Linked DNA regions of Saccharomyces cerevisiae S288C. Changing the gene in region 2 together with the main gene of any one other region gives a genetic interaction. Each region holds a gene or a part of one and is shown on either strand. Other genes may lie near its edges.

Evidence for each region.
Region 1: mutations in MSO1 (region 2) and SNC2 together harm fitness more than expected from each alone (negative genetic interaction), as found in Saccharomyces cerevisiae (3 studies listed by BioGRID).
Region 3: mutations in MSO1 (region 2) and SEC4 together harm fitness more than expected from each alone (negative genetic interaction), as found in Saccharomyces cerevisiae (5 studies listed by BioGRID, with this or other methods).

The regions. Positions count from the first base shown.
Region 1 is NC_001147.6:930,234-935,449, forward strand, and holds SNC2 (SNAP receptor SNC2), read right to left. Parts: upstream 849-5,216; coding exon 501-848; downstream 1-500. Other genes in the region: MYO2 (myosin 2), read left to right, coding at 1-212; ATP-binding cassette multidrug transporter PDR10, read left to right, coding at 1,570-5,216. UniProt on the Saccharomyces cerevisiae protein: SNC1 and SNC2 are vesicle-targeting proteins essential for normal secretory traffic between the Golgi and the plasma membrane. They may also be involved in vesicle fusion.
Region 2 is NC_001146.8:711,931-716,136, reverse strand, and holds MSO1 (Mso1p), read left to right. Parts: upstream 1-2,481; coding exon 2,482-3,114; downstream 3,115-4,206. Other genes in the region: LYS9 (saccharopine dehydrogenase (NADP+, L-glutamate-forming)), read left to right, coding at 749-2,089; YNR048W (putative aminophospholipid translocase regulatory protein), read right to left, coding at 3,326-4,206. UniProt on the Saccharomyces cerevisiae protein: Involved in secretion. Component of the secretory vesicle docking complex.
Region 3 is NC_001138.5:126,029-131,481, reverse strand, and holds SEC4 (Rab family GTPase SEC4), read right to left. Parts: upstream 1,149-5,453; coding exon 501-1,148; downstream 1-500. Other genes in the region: proteasome activator BLM10, read right to left, coding at 1,572-5,453. UniProt on the Saccharomyces cerevisiae protein: Involved in exocytosis. Maybe by regulating the binding and fusion of secretory vesicles with the cell surface. The GTP-bound form of SEC4 may interact with an effector, thereby stimulating its activity and leading to exocytotic fusion.

The sequences.
Region 1 (5,216 bases), on a different chromosome or scaffold from region 2:
TATCTTCATCAGGTAATGATTCTAAGGGTCACGAGCATAGCAGCAGTATATTTATCACTCCAGAAACAGGTCCATTTACTGACCCATTCAGTTTGATAAAGACAAGAAAATTTGACCAAGTAGAAGCCTATATACCAGCGTGGTTATCCTTGCCCTCAACTAAGAGAATAGTTGACCTTGTTGCCCAACAAGTCGTTCAAGACGGCCACTAAAACTGATGGCGCGAGAAACAAAATTGTACATGAATGCTAAAAAAAGAAATGACAAAAAAAGAGAAAAAAAAAAATGAAACTACATAGTTAATTAATAATAGAAGTATTTGTCAATAGTATGATAATGAAATCGATATTATGGAAGATATTAACCGCGCGCCGTATTAGTGTACACTATATTAAACTACATTTTGCTTCTTACTGAATTTATAAATTATGATTATATTATTATTACTATTATGACTACTGTATATATTTTTTAGAATTAGCATCGGGAACCGATGAGCGTTAGCTGAAATGGACGACGATAGGAACGATAATTACCACTAGTAAAATAATAACAACTAAGAATAAACACATTCTCATTTTTAGATCTTTCCACCACATTTGCTTTCTGACCCTGTTGGCGCCTCTCTTGAATCCTTGTGCGGAGATAGCCAAGTTATCAGCTTTGTCCTCAATGGATGTTAGCCTTTCACCACGTTCAGCAACCTTGTTGATATTATCTCTCATTATTCCCACCGTGTCATCAATCTCTTGTCTCAAAGCAGCAGTCTTGTTTTGGGAATTTGGGTTTGCGCCTGAGTTACTCTCCTCTGGAGGCACATATGGATCGTATGGCACTGATGACGACATCGTTGCGCGTTCTTATTTTGTATTTGGAAGTGTTTCGAATGTATGCCTGACTTACAGATACTATTCACTGAGCAGATAGTTTACCTTTCTATAAAATATTAAAGGCTGTTTCAACCAAAACTTGAAGGAAAACTAACTGGCTCCCCGCTTTTGCATCTTTTGGGTGCGACAACTGGTGTTTGTTTGGTTGCGCTGCACCATTCGCGCTATAATGCCAAAATCCGAAGAATTTTGAGCCACTTTTGCGGAAGACAGGGAGAAAAAATAAAAAAAAAGTCACGCGTATATCATGTGACCAAGATCACTATAAACGCTCCGTGGAATGCGCTTTTAGGGCGACTGAATGATTCCATGGTCATTGTTACAGCCGCCCGTGGCTTTGTTCCACGGACTGATAAAGGGATACGCTAAGACCAGAAAAACCCTTAATATTCAATATAGTACAGTACTACTACAGAATTGGTCGGCATATTTTTATTTTGTTCGTATTAATAATACACCTGCTGTCATCAGTACCAATAATTTGATAGGTTTTCCCCACATAGTGCGCCTTATGTAAGTATATAAGGAAGGACGGTTGGGCAAGCATCTTACTTTCTTATCTCTCCCCGTGACAGAACCATAGAAGATATCTAGCGTTATTATATTTCTATACTTAGTAAACGTTTCCGGTATAGTAGAAAAATCAAACAATAATTTCTGGTCTTACATAGTTGTTAGGATGTTGCAAGCGCCCTCAAGTTCAAACTCGGGTTTGAATCAAGGAAATGCTGCGCCGGACGGCCCACCTAACGAAACACAGCCGTACGAAGGCCTCGACGCGGCAGCTCAAGAAGAAATAAAAGAATTGGCAAGAACGCTGACGAGCCAATCTTCCCTTTTATCGCAAGAAAAGCGTATTACCGGCACTGGCGACCCGAATACACTAACTGCTGCTTCTTCATCGTCATTGAGCCGGTCAATTTTCGCTAGTGATATCAAGGGAGTTAACCCAATCCTTTTGGACGTCAATGATCCAGACTACGATGAGACATTGGATCCTCGATCAGAAAATTTCTCGAGTGTCAGATGGGTACGAAATATGGCACAAATATGCGAGAATGATTCGGATTTCTATAAACCGTTTTCATTAGGTTGCGCCTGGAAAGATTTGAGTGCCTCCGGTGATTCTGCCGATATAACATATCAGGGAACATTTGGTAATATGCCCATCAAATACTTGAAAATGAGTTGGAGGTGCATATCCCGACGTCTTTTCCACCGGACACATGGCAAGAGTGAAGATAATGACTCCGGTTTCCAAATTTTGAAGCCGATGGACGGATGCATCAATCCGGGGGAACTACTTGTTGTGCTTGGACGACCCGGTGCAGGATGTACTACGCTGCTGAAATCTATATCTGTAAATACACACGGATTCAAGATTTCTCCGGACACAATCATCACGTACAATGGATTCTCCAACAAAGAGATCAAAAACCATTACCGTGGTGAAGTGGTCTACAATGCAGAATCAGACATTCACATCCCGCACTTGACAGTATTCCAAACTTTATACACAGTGGCAAGACTGAAGACACCAAGGAACCGAATCAAGGGTGTCGATAGGGACACATTTGCCAAACACATGACTGAAGTGGCAATGGCAACTTACGGACTGAGCCACACTGCAGATACAAAAGTGGGTAATGATTTTGTTCGTGGTGTATCCGGGGGAGAAAGGAAAAGAGTTTCCATTGCTGAAGTGTCTATATGTGGCTCGAAGTTTCAGTGCTGGGATAATGCCACGAGGGGCTTAGATTCTGCTACCGCGCTGGAGTTCATCAAGGCCTTGAAAACGCAAGCCACTATCACAAAGTCTGCAGCCACTGTGGCCATTTACCAATGTTCTAAAGATGCCTATGATTTGTTCGATAAAGTCTGTGTTCTTTACGATGGTTACCAAATCTTCTTTGGCCCAAGTAAGCAGGCCAAAAAGTACTTTCAAAGAATGGGATATGTGTGTCCCGAAAGGCAGACCACAGCAGATTATTTGACCTCTATTACTAGTCCTTCTGAAAGAATTAAGGACAAAGACATGGTCAAACATGGAATTATGATCCCACAAACGGCCTATGAAATGAACCAGTACTGGATTCAATCAGAGGAATACAAACAATTACAGGTGCAGGTGAACAAACATTTAGATACAGACTCTTCCCAGCAAAGAGAACAAATAAAAAATGCACATATTGCCAAACAATCTAAGAGAGCACGGCCCTCCTCTCCTTATACAGTAAGTTTCTTTTTGCAAGTTAAGTATATTCTAATCAGGGATATATGGAGGATTAAGAATGACCCAAGTATTCAACTTTTCACGGTTTTGAGTCATGCAGCAATGGCTCTTATCTTGGGATCAATGTTTTATGAAGTCATGCTTTCCACTACCACAACAACCTTTTATTACCGAGGCGCGGCTATTTTTTTTGCTATTCTGTTCAATGCGTTCTCATCACTTTTAGAGATCTTTTCACTCTATGAGACGAGGCCCATTACCGAAAAGCACAAGACTTACTCGTTATATCGCCCAAGTGCTGATGCCTTCGCCTCTACATTTTCTGATGTTCCAACAAAATTAGCCACGGCAGTAACTTTCAACATACCATATTATTTTTTAATCAATCTAAAAAGAGATGCCGGTGCTTTTTTCTTTTACTTTTTAATAAACATTATAACAGTTTTTGCTATGTCGCATTTGTTCAGATGCATTGGCTCAGTGTCGAAAACTTTACCTCAGGCAATGGTTCCCGCATCTGTTCTTCTGTTAGCTTTTGCAATGTACACTGGGTTTGCCATCCCAAGAGTCCAAATGCTTGGCTGGTCAAAATGGATTTCTTATATCAACCCATTGTCTTACCTTTTTGAATCGCTAATGATTAACGAATTTCATGGTAGAAATTTCCCATGTGCTCAGTATATACCTAGTGGGCCAAATTATGTCAACGCAACAGGTGACGAAGTCACCTGCTCCGCCCTCGGTTCTATCCCAGGAAATAATTATGTAAGTGGTGATGATTTCATTCAAACGAACTACGGCTATCGACATAAGAACAAATGGCGGTCTGTTGGTATTGGTTTAGCATACATTATTTTTTTCTTATTTCTGTATTTATTCTTTTGTGAATACAATGAAGGAGCAAAGCAAAATGGTGAGATGTTAGTATTTCCCCATAGTGTGGTTAAAAAGATGAAGAAGAAGGGTATTGTCTCTGAGAAGAAAAAGAAAAACCAACCAACGTTGTCAACATCTGATGCTGAGAAAGATGTAGAGATGAACAACAATTCAAGTGCGACTGATTCAAGATTTTTACGCGATTCTGATGCAGCTATAATGGGTAACGATAAAACTGTCGCCAAGGAGCATTATTCATCTCCTTCATCTTCTGCGTCTCAAAGCAATAGTTTTAGTAAAAGTGATGACATTGAATTGTCCAAATCACAAGCGATTTTTCATTGGAAAAACTTATGCTACGATATCCCGATTAAGAATGGGAAGAGGAGAATTTTGGATAATGTTGATGGTTGGGTCAAGCCTGGTACACTAACTGCCTTGATTGGCGCATCTGGTGCAGGAAAAACAACGTTATTAGATTGTCTTGCCGAGAGAACCACGATGGGTTTAATCACTGGTGATGTATTCGTAGATGGTAGACCGCGGGACCAGTCTTTCCCCAGATCAATTGGTTATTGTCAGCAGCAGGATTTGCATTTGAAAACCGCAACTGTGAGAGAGTCATTAAGGTTTTCCGCGTACCTGCGTCAAGCCGATGATGTATCCATCGAGGAGAAAGATAAATACGTTGAAGAAGTCATTGAGGTATTGGAGATGAAACTTTATGCTGATGCCATAGTAGGCGTTCCTGGTGAAGGTTTAAATGTGGAACAAAGAAAAAGGTTAACCATAGGTGTGGAGTTAGCTGCCAAACCAAAACTGTTGGTATTTTTAGATGAGCCCACGTCTGGGCTTGATTCCCAAACTGCATGGTCAACTTGTCAATTAATGAAGAAATTGGCTAGTCGCGGACAAGCAATTTTATGTACCATTCATCAACCTTCTGCTCTCTTAATGCAAGAGTTTGATAGGTTACTATTTTTGCAAGAGGGCGGACAAACTGTATATTTTGGAGAGCTAGGGAAAGGTTGCAAAACAATGATTAACTATTTCGAAGCTCATGGTGCCCATAAATGCCCACCAGATGCCAATCCAGCCGAATGGATGTTAGAAATAGTAGGTGCTGCACCAGGAACTCACGCTAGTCAAGATTATTTTGCCATTTGGAGAGATTCTGAAGAATATAGGGAAATGCAGAAAGAGTTGGACTGGATGGA
Region 2 (4,206 bases):
AGTCATGGAGATAAAGTCCCATGATATTGTAAACTAAATTGAAAGTAAAATCAAGGAAAAAACAAGTGAGATTGCAATAAGCAATCAAGAGAGAAAAGTTTTTTGACTGATTTTCGACTTGCTTTTATACCGATTTTGAAAAGTCGCGGGGAAAAGCTGGCAATTATTTTTCATTTTTTTTCATTAGGGCTAGAAGTTGCTAAGAGCAAACAAACTGTTACTTGAAAGGTTTTCCCACGTTGGTAGCTACATATGCAAGAGTCTTATGTATCGTATCTAAGTGCCACGTAGGGGATTCCCATCATTTGATGATTTCCAAATATAATACCTGTAGAGAGCGGTGGAGCAAAAGTCAAATTTTAATCGCAACTGCAGACAAGTCAAGCTGAGGAAATTGTGGATGATCTCTTGTTTCTTTTGATATTCACCACAACAGAAGTGAAGAGTGTGATTGCGGTTACTACTGACCACGAAGCAATGCGTTTAGTAGTGAAAAGAATTACTCATACTCTGGAATCGAAATTCCGTTGGAAAAATTCGCTTTGTAGTGAAAAATAAAGATGTCAATAAAGGGTATTGAGAATTTCCAATGGAATTATCAGCAATAGATGATAGAAAGTAGCACAGAATTTGGCTTAATGGTATATAAACCGTAGGGTCCTGGTAAAATTACATGGGAAGGATCCTTAGGCAGTAGGGAAAACTTATCAGGACAATTGAGTTATATTAACGTATTATATATTTTAATATGGGAAAGAACGTTTTGTTGCTAGGATCTGGTTTTGTTGCACAACCTGTTATCGACACATTGGCTGCTAATGATGACATCAATGTCACTGTCGCATGTAGAACATTAGCCAATGCGCAAGCATTGGCCAAGCCCTCTGGATCCAAGGCTATTTCATTGGATGTTACCGATGACAGTGCCTTAGACAAAGTTCTGGCTGATAACGATGTTGTCATCTCTTTGATTCCATACACCTTCCATCCAAATGTGGTAAAGAGCGCCATCAGAACAAAGACCGATGTCGTCACTTCCTCTTACATCTCACCTGCCTTAAGAGAATTGGAACCAGAAATCGTAAAGGCAGGTATTACAGTTATGAACGAAATTGGGTTGGATCCAGGTATCGACCACTTGTATGCGGTCAAGACTATTGATGAAGTTCACAGAGCTGGTGGTAAGCTAAAGTCATTCTTGTCATACTGTGGTGGTTTACCAGCTCCTGAAGACTCTGATAATCCATTAGGATACAAATTTTCATGGTCCTCCAGAGGTGTGCTACTGGCTTTAAGAAACTCTGCTAAATACTGGAAAGACGGAAAGATTGAAACTGTTTCTTCCGAAGACTTAATGGCCACTGCTAAGCCTTACTTCATCTACCCAGGTTATGCATTCGTTTGCTACCCAAATAGAGACTCTACCCTTTTCAAGGATCTTTATCATATTCCAGAAGCCGAAACGGTCATTAGAGGTACTTTGAGATATCAAGGTTTCCCAGAATTTGTTAAGGCTTTAGTTGACATGGGTATGTTGAAGGATGATGCTAACGAAATCTTCAGCAAGCCAATTGCCTGGAACGAAGCACTAAAACAATATTTAGGTGCCAAGTCTACTTCTAAAGAAGATTTGATTGCTTCCATTGACTCAAAGGCTACTTGGAAAGATGATGAAGATAGAGAAAGAATCCTTTCCGGGTTTGCTTGGTTAGGCTTGTTCTCTGACGCAAAGATCACACCAAGAGGTAATGCTTTAGACACTCTATGTGCACGTTTAGAAGAACTAATGCAATATGAAGACAATGAAAGAGATATGGTTGTACTACAACACAAATTCGGTATTGAATGGGCTGATGGAACTACCGAAACAAGAACATCCACTTTAGTTGACTATGGTAAGGTTGGTGGTTACAGTTCTATGGCCGCTACTGTTGGTTATCCAGTTGCCATTGCAACGAAATTCGTCTTAGATGGTACAATCAAGGGACCAGGCTTACTAGCGCCATACTCACCAGAGATTAATGATCCAATCATGAAAGAACTAAAGGACAAGTACGGCATCTATCTAAAGGAAAAGACAGTGGCTTAAATAAGAAGAAATGTATCAAAAGGTTTATCATACGTAACAGTAACGGCACTTTATAAATCTTTCTTTAGTATTACTTATACTTTCATAAGGAAACGTAAAAAAAAAAAAACCGGAAAGAGGGACAAAATGGACTAGAACGTAATTGAGAGTGTAGTTCCTGAAGCTTGAACCGCTAGTAAGTCGTCTACCTTTAGTCTAAAAAGTATTGGCTATTGCATTTTATAGTCTTGCTTCTGATCAGAACGTATTAAATGAGCTCGTAAAGACTCTTAGGAGTTTTTCACTTTTAGAGATTAATACTATTAGGAAAGGTGCAAAAAAATAAAACGCCAACTAACTATTAGACGCTAGGCCCTAATACCAACTACCAGTATAACTAAGATTTCACGCATATGATGAGTCAAGTATCGCATTCCCAAGAAGGATCCGGGCGATTTTGGAACAAGTTTAAGTCGTCAACCAAATCGTTATCTACATCGTTGGCACATTTATCCATTAAAGCAGAAAAAGATGGTGATACTGTAAATACTACATTGGTCCATAAAGGGCTTGTGAAATTCTATGAAAATCAGCATCCTTTCCAGGGGTTCCCAGGATGGTTGGGGGAGAAGGAAGATTTACCGAACGAACGTAAAATATTAGATACTCAAGTGAAGCATGATATGAAGAAGCAAAACTCGCGTCATTTCTCGCCATCCTTTTCTAACAGAAGGAAGGCTTCTTCAGAAGATCCTATGGGTACACCTTCTTCAAACGGGAACACACCGGAGTACACGCCTGCGAGTAAATCGTTTCAAGATATATACAATAATCATACAAGCTCCTCTAGCGCGACACCGAGAAGAGCTTCATCACGGCCGACTAGACCTTCAGCAGGCCAAGAATTCAGGGCAAGTCTCGGTCGAAGTAAAACGTCGAACAGTTTCAACACCTCCAGCACGCCAACGCCGCCACCAGACGCAAGTAGTGGAGTAATGGCAATGAAGGACAGACTAAAGAGACGCAATAACGATTATGGATTTTAAATAGCACTATACCTTGCTGAAATAAAGCGAAAAGAACATTTAATGAATATATAGGTATCGTATATGTACTGAATAAAGTGTTTGATACAGAATGCAAGGAGATAATATAGTATGGTATATAACCTCGTCCTTATTTTGAATATACATGAAATTACAACGCTTCCCTAGAGACCGAATCAAACGCAGGGATTTTATAGTAAATGATAATCAATCATAAAATTTCTCTCAATGGAATACTAACGACACTACTCTCATCGAATGGGGTATCGCTGTTCTCAAAATTTAGGTAGCTATGATCATGCATAGGTCTTGGTTTGAAGATGACTTTTATCAGGAATAGTATGGCGAAAAGAGTTGCAATCCCGGCAACAATCAAATAAACAATCCCTAATGCCTCGTTTCCAGCACCGATAATACTGTTTGTGGTTAATACAAAAGATTTTGTTCCATAGAAAGATCTTACTGGGTAGTTGAGTTCTATATCAGCAATGTAAATACCCTTACCTAACCCATTGGTCTCATTTTTCATTGCTAGCTTATAGAAGTTGGGCAATGCAGCAGTTCTCATCCATATTTTGAACTGTTCCCAGTTTTGTAGGTCTGGAATGTTATCGTCAGTGTAGCCATTGGGAAATAACTTGGCCCAATTTGGGGGCGGTACGATATCGGATGCATTGTATTCGGTCTTTCCATATCTGTGGCTGTCGGTGTCCCACGCAATACCTTTTGTGGTAAGCAAATAATCTGCAGTATCGTTTACACCAGTAAGTGTTGTGCCGAATGTATCATTGAACATCGAATTTGCTATCAATCCACAGGGGAATATGGTCTTATTTTCTACCGTCCTTAAAGGGTCACAGTTTGGATCCAGATCATTTCCGATCAATGCTTTTCCTTTTAATTGGTCTAGGTCAAGAGATTGCACATATTCTCTATAGTTTTGATTGAAATTTGTTAGGCGGTAATAAACATAAGTAGATTTCTTGATATGATTTGGAACTTCGAACTGTATTCGACAAGTTTGATTGCCTAATTCAGGATCCGTAAGTACCATCCATTGAGGTTGGACTGCGACTTTCTTACTGAAGTGGT
Region 3 (5,453 bases), on a different chromosome or scaffold from region 2:
GAGTGATTATGCAACCATACAGGAACCTTACATAAGCGCAAGTAGTTGAATAGTGGATTCAAGAAGCAAAACTTTACTACCGGTAAAAACATTAGAACGAAATAAAAGTGCTGAATCTTAAAAGTAAAATATATACTTGGATAAGAATTCCCAGGGAAACTGGGAACCTCGTTTTCCTGTTGCACTATTTTTTAGATTCTTTCTTGATTTTTTACCAATCGCCTGATGAAAATACCTTCCAGAGCAGAGAACAACAGTAGAAGTATGCTGAAAAAGTTAGTGTGAGAAGTTTGAATTGTTTAGATAATATAAAAGTGACATCTAATATGACTAATATAAAAATAGTAAGTATGGTAATCAAAAAAAGATACAAACAATGTATATATATAAAGGAAAAATAACCTGCGAATATTGAGAAAAAGGGAAAAAAGAATCAAGCGATTTATAGCTCTAATTCCAGTTCACGATTAATTCTCAAAGAAGCAAAAATCTTCTTTTCTTCAACAGCAATTTGATTTAGAACTGTTTCCGCTCCCACTATTGATGCTAATATTGCCCTCTTTACCGTTACCGACGCCAACAAGCTTGTTACTGTCGATTTTTTCTTGGATTAACTTCGCCAAGGTGAAAAAAATCTCGTTGACATTGTCATCGTTCTTAGCACTGGACTCGATGAATGGTATACCCAGCTCCTTAGCCAAGGCTTCACCTTGATCAGCTGTTACCACTCTCGTCTCCATATCGCTCTTGTTACCAACCAACAGTAGCTGTGCTTCATCGTTCGCATGCTCATTAACGGTTTTAAACCATTGCTTGATATTAGTAAATGTTCTCTCGTCTGTCACATCATATACAAGAATGATACCCATAGCACCACGATAATACGCTGTGGTGATTGTCCGGAAACGTTCTTGACCAGCGGTATCCCAAAGTTGCAGCTTTACCTTCTTACCGTTGATATCGACAGTCTTTATTTTGAAATCAATACCAATGGTGGTGATAAATGACGGGTTAAATTTGTCTTCAACAAAACGAACCAATAAACATGATTTCCCAACACCAGAATCACCAATCAATAAAATTTTCATAATAGAGTCATAGCTCTTTCCATTACCGGATGAAGCAGAAACAGTTCTCAAGCCTGACATGTTTATCTTGTTATGTTTATATTCTTTCTGGTGAACGATACGCCCTCGTGTATATACAGTATGTCTACTTTTTCTCCTTTTCTTATTCTTCCAAAAAAAAAAGTTCCTAGTTTATTTTCTTGGAATTGCAATAGGTTGGAATAATGGATCACTAAAAGACAAGCTATAGTGGGTAATTCAAGTTTCCAGCTTCCCTAGAGGTAGAATGCTTTGTTTGGTATAACGTTTCCCTGCCGTTGATCATTCTCAGTGGTGAACTTCCAGTTTTCCTCAAAATTGATTTATTACCCGGCACGCAGCCGTGATCATAGTTACACTAACAACTTACTTTTAGAGTAAAACTAATCAGCAGATAGCTCCAGCTATTTGTTTAGATGTACATATATGTCTAGATATGTGCTTAATATCCTATACTAATATGAATCAGGCATAGTAACTTCTCCATAGGACACCCTCCAGGTCTTCCAGTTCCTCCGTATTGAAAGATGCTCTATCGAACTTCCAAGTGTCGGCCCTCACCTTCTTGAACTCACTAATAGTATTTTTGGCAGCTTGTCCAGTCATACCACTAGTCCTGGCCCACGAGGATAAGTTGCTTAGTTGCTTGGGTATCCATGGCGGTAGGGGAAAAACATAGGGGAACGCTGATATAATAGCTCCCAAACCCAAAACGTTACCATGAATCTTGATATCCGTTTTGGATAACTTTTGTCTTTCTTTCGACGTGTATTTGTTGACGTCGAGACCCTTTGCAAATCTCTCGATTAAACTCAACAACGGCTGTTCCTCTTTCCAGTTATGGACGATATCAGACAAAATGGATGCCGCACGAACTCTCACCTCTACAAACTGTTCGTTATACAAATTGCTGACAACAAATTCCAAAATTTTGTTCTTTTCTTCCTCAGTAAGTTGAAGCAGTTCCGCTGATAAAAAGTGTTGGATGAAAGCTAGCTGTAGTTTCGTTTGGTTTGAAGATAGTGCTACATTTGACGAACAAACATAGTCAACAATGGCGGCAACATGGTTCTTTCTGATCGGCATATAGCCCAAGCCGGCATACAATCGAACAGGATCTAAACTGGCAAGAGCACAAACATCTTTATGTTTCACTAATCCGATCAGAAATGGTAAAACATAATCGACTAAATATGGAACTAACAAAACTTTATTAGGCCCTCTCGCCATTTCTTTGATCCAATAAAATATTGTGGATGTCCTGTAAAAATAGTCTGTCTTAATAAATTGTTGAGGATTCAGGCCGACAACGGAATCTTCCAGATTTTTAATGATCTCAAACTGCTTCTTAATATAGGCATCCACCTTTTCTGGGACGCTTTTTAATGGTAACCCTAATCCATCTGGATCATTCCGTTCTGCTTCTAATAATGTGGTTGGATCTGAAATTGACGGATTACTTTGATTTTGAACTAAGGTCGTCAATAGTTTAGCGACAGCCTGGCGAACCTGATCGTATGGGTGATCAAATACCAACTCATCAAATAGCTTACCAACATCTGGGGCTCTAAATTCCATGCTCATCAAGATACTTCTTAGCATGTAAATTTTGGAGGTTTGATGTGTGGCTGCATCAGATTCACGGTCAAACATGCCATCGGCGTTGATAAAATGGCAAAAAAAAGTTTTAGACCTTCTTAAATCAACGACTGCAGGCAACCACCATGCCAAGGTGCTCCAAATTTCAAATGCGTCATGGTTCAACTCATAATCTAAACATTTGGCTAGGAAGTTTTCGATAAAAGTGTCACGTTTGTCCAAGTCAGAGACTGACATAAACTTACTCCCGCAAACTAAGCCAGCCACTATCTCGACAGACATGATCATCGAAGCCTTATCGTCTTTGTTATAGTAGGATTCACATAGCTCAAAGAGATCCGACATATTCAGTTCGCAGAAACCAGATGATATCAAAAGGATTACTAAAGAGAAAAATGACACGTTACCACTACTAAAAACACCCCTAGTTTCATTATCTTGGACTAAATTCATTGTAACATCTCTCAGGAATTCTCTTGTCAATAGATGACCAGCTGTCTTGAGGACTTCCAGTTCATTCTCACGTAAATTGAGCTTTAAAGCTTTCGGCGACATGACGTACATAAGCCTTCCCCAACATAGCCACCCTACATACGCCCTCAAATCGATAAAATACTTGGGGTTATCAAAGTTATTCATTTCTTCAGTAAACGTTTTAGGGAAGCTTGTGGTCGAAGTGTCCAGTATTTCCACAAATGATGGATTGAATTCATTCTTATAGGCCCTGGTGATGTCATATTCATAGTCAGAGAGAGATATTATCTTGTTGCACGTCGACAACAATGACTTTACAACCAAATGTATGATTTCGGGATGTTTTGTGGAGATTTGGGAGATTATTGAAAATACTGCTCTTTTATCGGGTTTGCTTTCGAGGTTCGATTGGATTTGTGTAACAAAACGTAAAATGAACATTCTTATCTTCCACCCCATATCTTTTTCATTATCTAATTTGTCTAAAAGTTTGTCCTGCAAATCCACTAACAGAGAGAGGTAGTACTCACGCTTTTTCTTTTTGGCAAGCTTTACCGCTTCAACTTGCAAATTAATAGTACCATCAGGAGGTGCTAAAGGTAAGAAAGCTTGATCGGAAATGACACATACACTAGAAGGAATCTTGATCCCAATCACTATGTCAGTTAAGATTTTATCTGCATACATACCAATCTCTAATTCATTCACACGACAACATTCAATAAGCAGAAATATCAATCTGCCGATGTCTTTATAATCCGTCATAAGCTTCCTATGGATTTTCTTAATTAACAAAACATTTAAAATAACTTGGATTTTCATATAATCATGATCCTTAATCGCTTTCTCTAATGATGGAATAATTTTATTGATGACTACGCCATATGACCCAACTAATTGTTTCATACAGTGTACCAAAGTTCCCTGTGCTGGTTTATAAATATCAGGATAAAGGGATGTCGCTAACTGTATGATGTCAACTAACAATAGGTTTTCCAGCTTGGAAGCTTTTCTATTTGTTGAATGTAATAGAACTCTACTCTGGTGCAAACTGTTTGCTCTGATTGCAAAATTGGTTCTCGTGAAGGGCTCATTTACGTGTGAGAGAGATTGAACGTTTTCTAGGAAATCAACGTCAATGAAGGCATTTGGGTCTTCATTGAAGACCGTTTCTTGTCCCAGATCTGTGAACCAAACTTTCAATCCGTGCAATAGAATTTGGAACATGTTGGTGTTGTTTTCGAAGTTTGTAGATAAAAAAACATAGAGTTTGTGAAAGAAATGTCCAATGCGCGCTCTAACTCTGTGGACTTGTAAATATTGTGGGTTTTGTAACTTCTCCTCAGTGGTATTTCCGAAGTAATAATTACAGGTGTAAATATCTAAATCCCTGAAAGCTAGATCCGAACTCATAGCTGAATTGTCCGTGCCATGCGTCCCCGCGATAGGGGTATTTACACCAGATGGCATCTCAGACACTACTTCTTCATCAACAATTAATTCATCCGGAAACTCATCTCTTAACTGCACAACATCGGAAACTCCTGCATTCAGCCCTGCTTCAATGTCCTTACTCTCAATATAGTCTTCATCATCCTTGCCAGAACGAATTTGTTCAATATCAATATCCAGTTCTTGAGGGTCACAATTATTTTCGCGTATATTCTTTAATAAAATCAGTTTCTCTCTGTATGATAAGTTTGATTGCGTCCTATATTTGTTAAAATCTGGATCAAAAAGTAAACTTGACCCGGAAAGCGTATGTGTCATAACTAAAACATATTTTTGTATCATATCGCCATATTCGGAATCATGTCTTGGAGCTTTCATCAGTTCTTCTACGTTGTTAATACAGTATTCGGAAAGGCTTTCTAGAATGCTTATGGATAAAGTTATCTCGTCACTAGAAGGTACGTGCCACTGAAAACTCAAATGCTGTTTATCAAATCTTCGAGGATCGAACTGTAGTCCTCCCCATCTGTCTTTTTCCGGAATCTTAGAGTCCTCTGGGAATAGACGACAATCAGTTATTTCGGTTGTACATAGAGTTGCTAAAGCACTGTGAATAACAATAGATGTGATAACATCCAATGGCGGGTTAGTGACGTTGTCGTATAAATATTTCATGAATGTTATCAACTCATCGCTATACTCCAATAGAGATTCATGACATTGCCTTAAGACATCATTTAGTGCAGTTAAGTATAAAACTAACTTAACATCCCTCTGTTGAATCTCTGAAGTACTTCTTACAGACCCGGCGCCTCTTTTGAT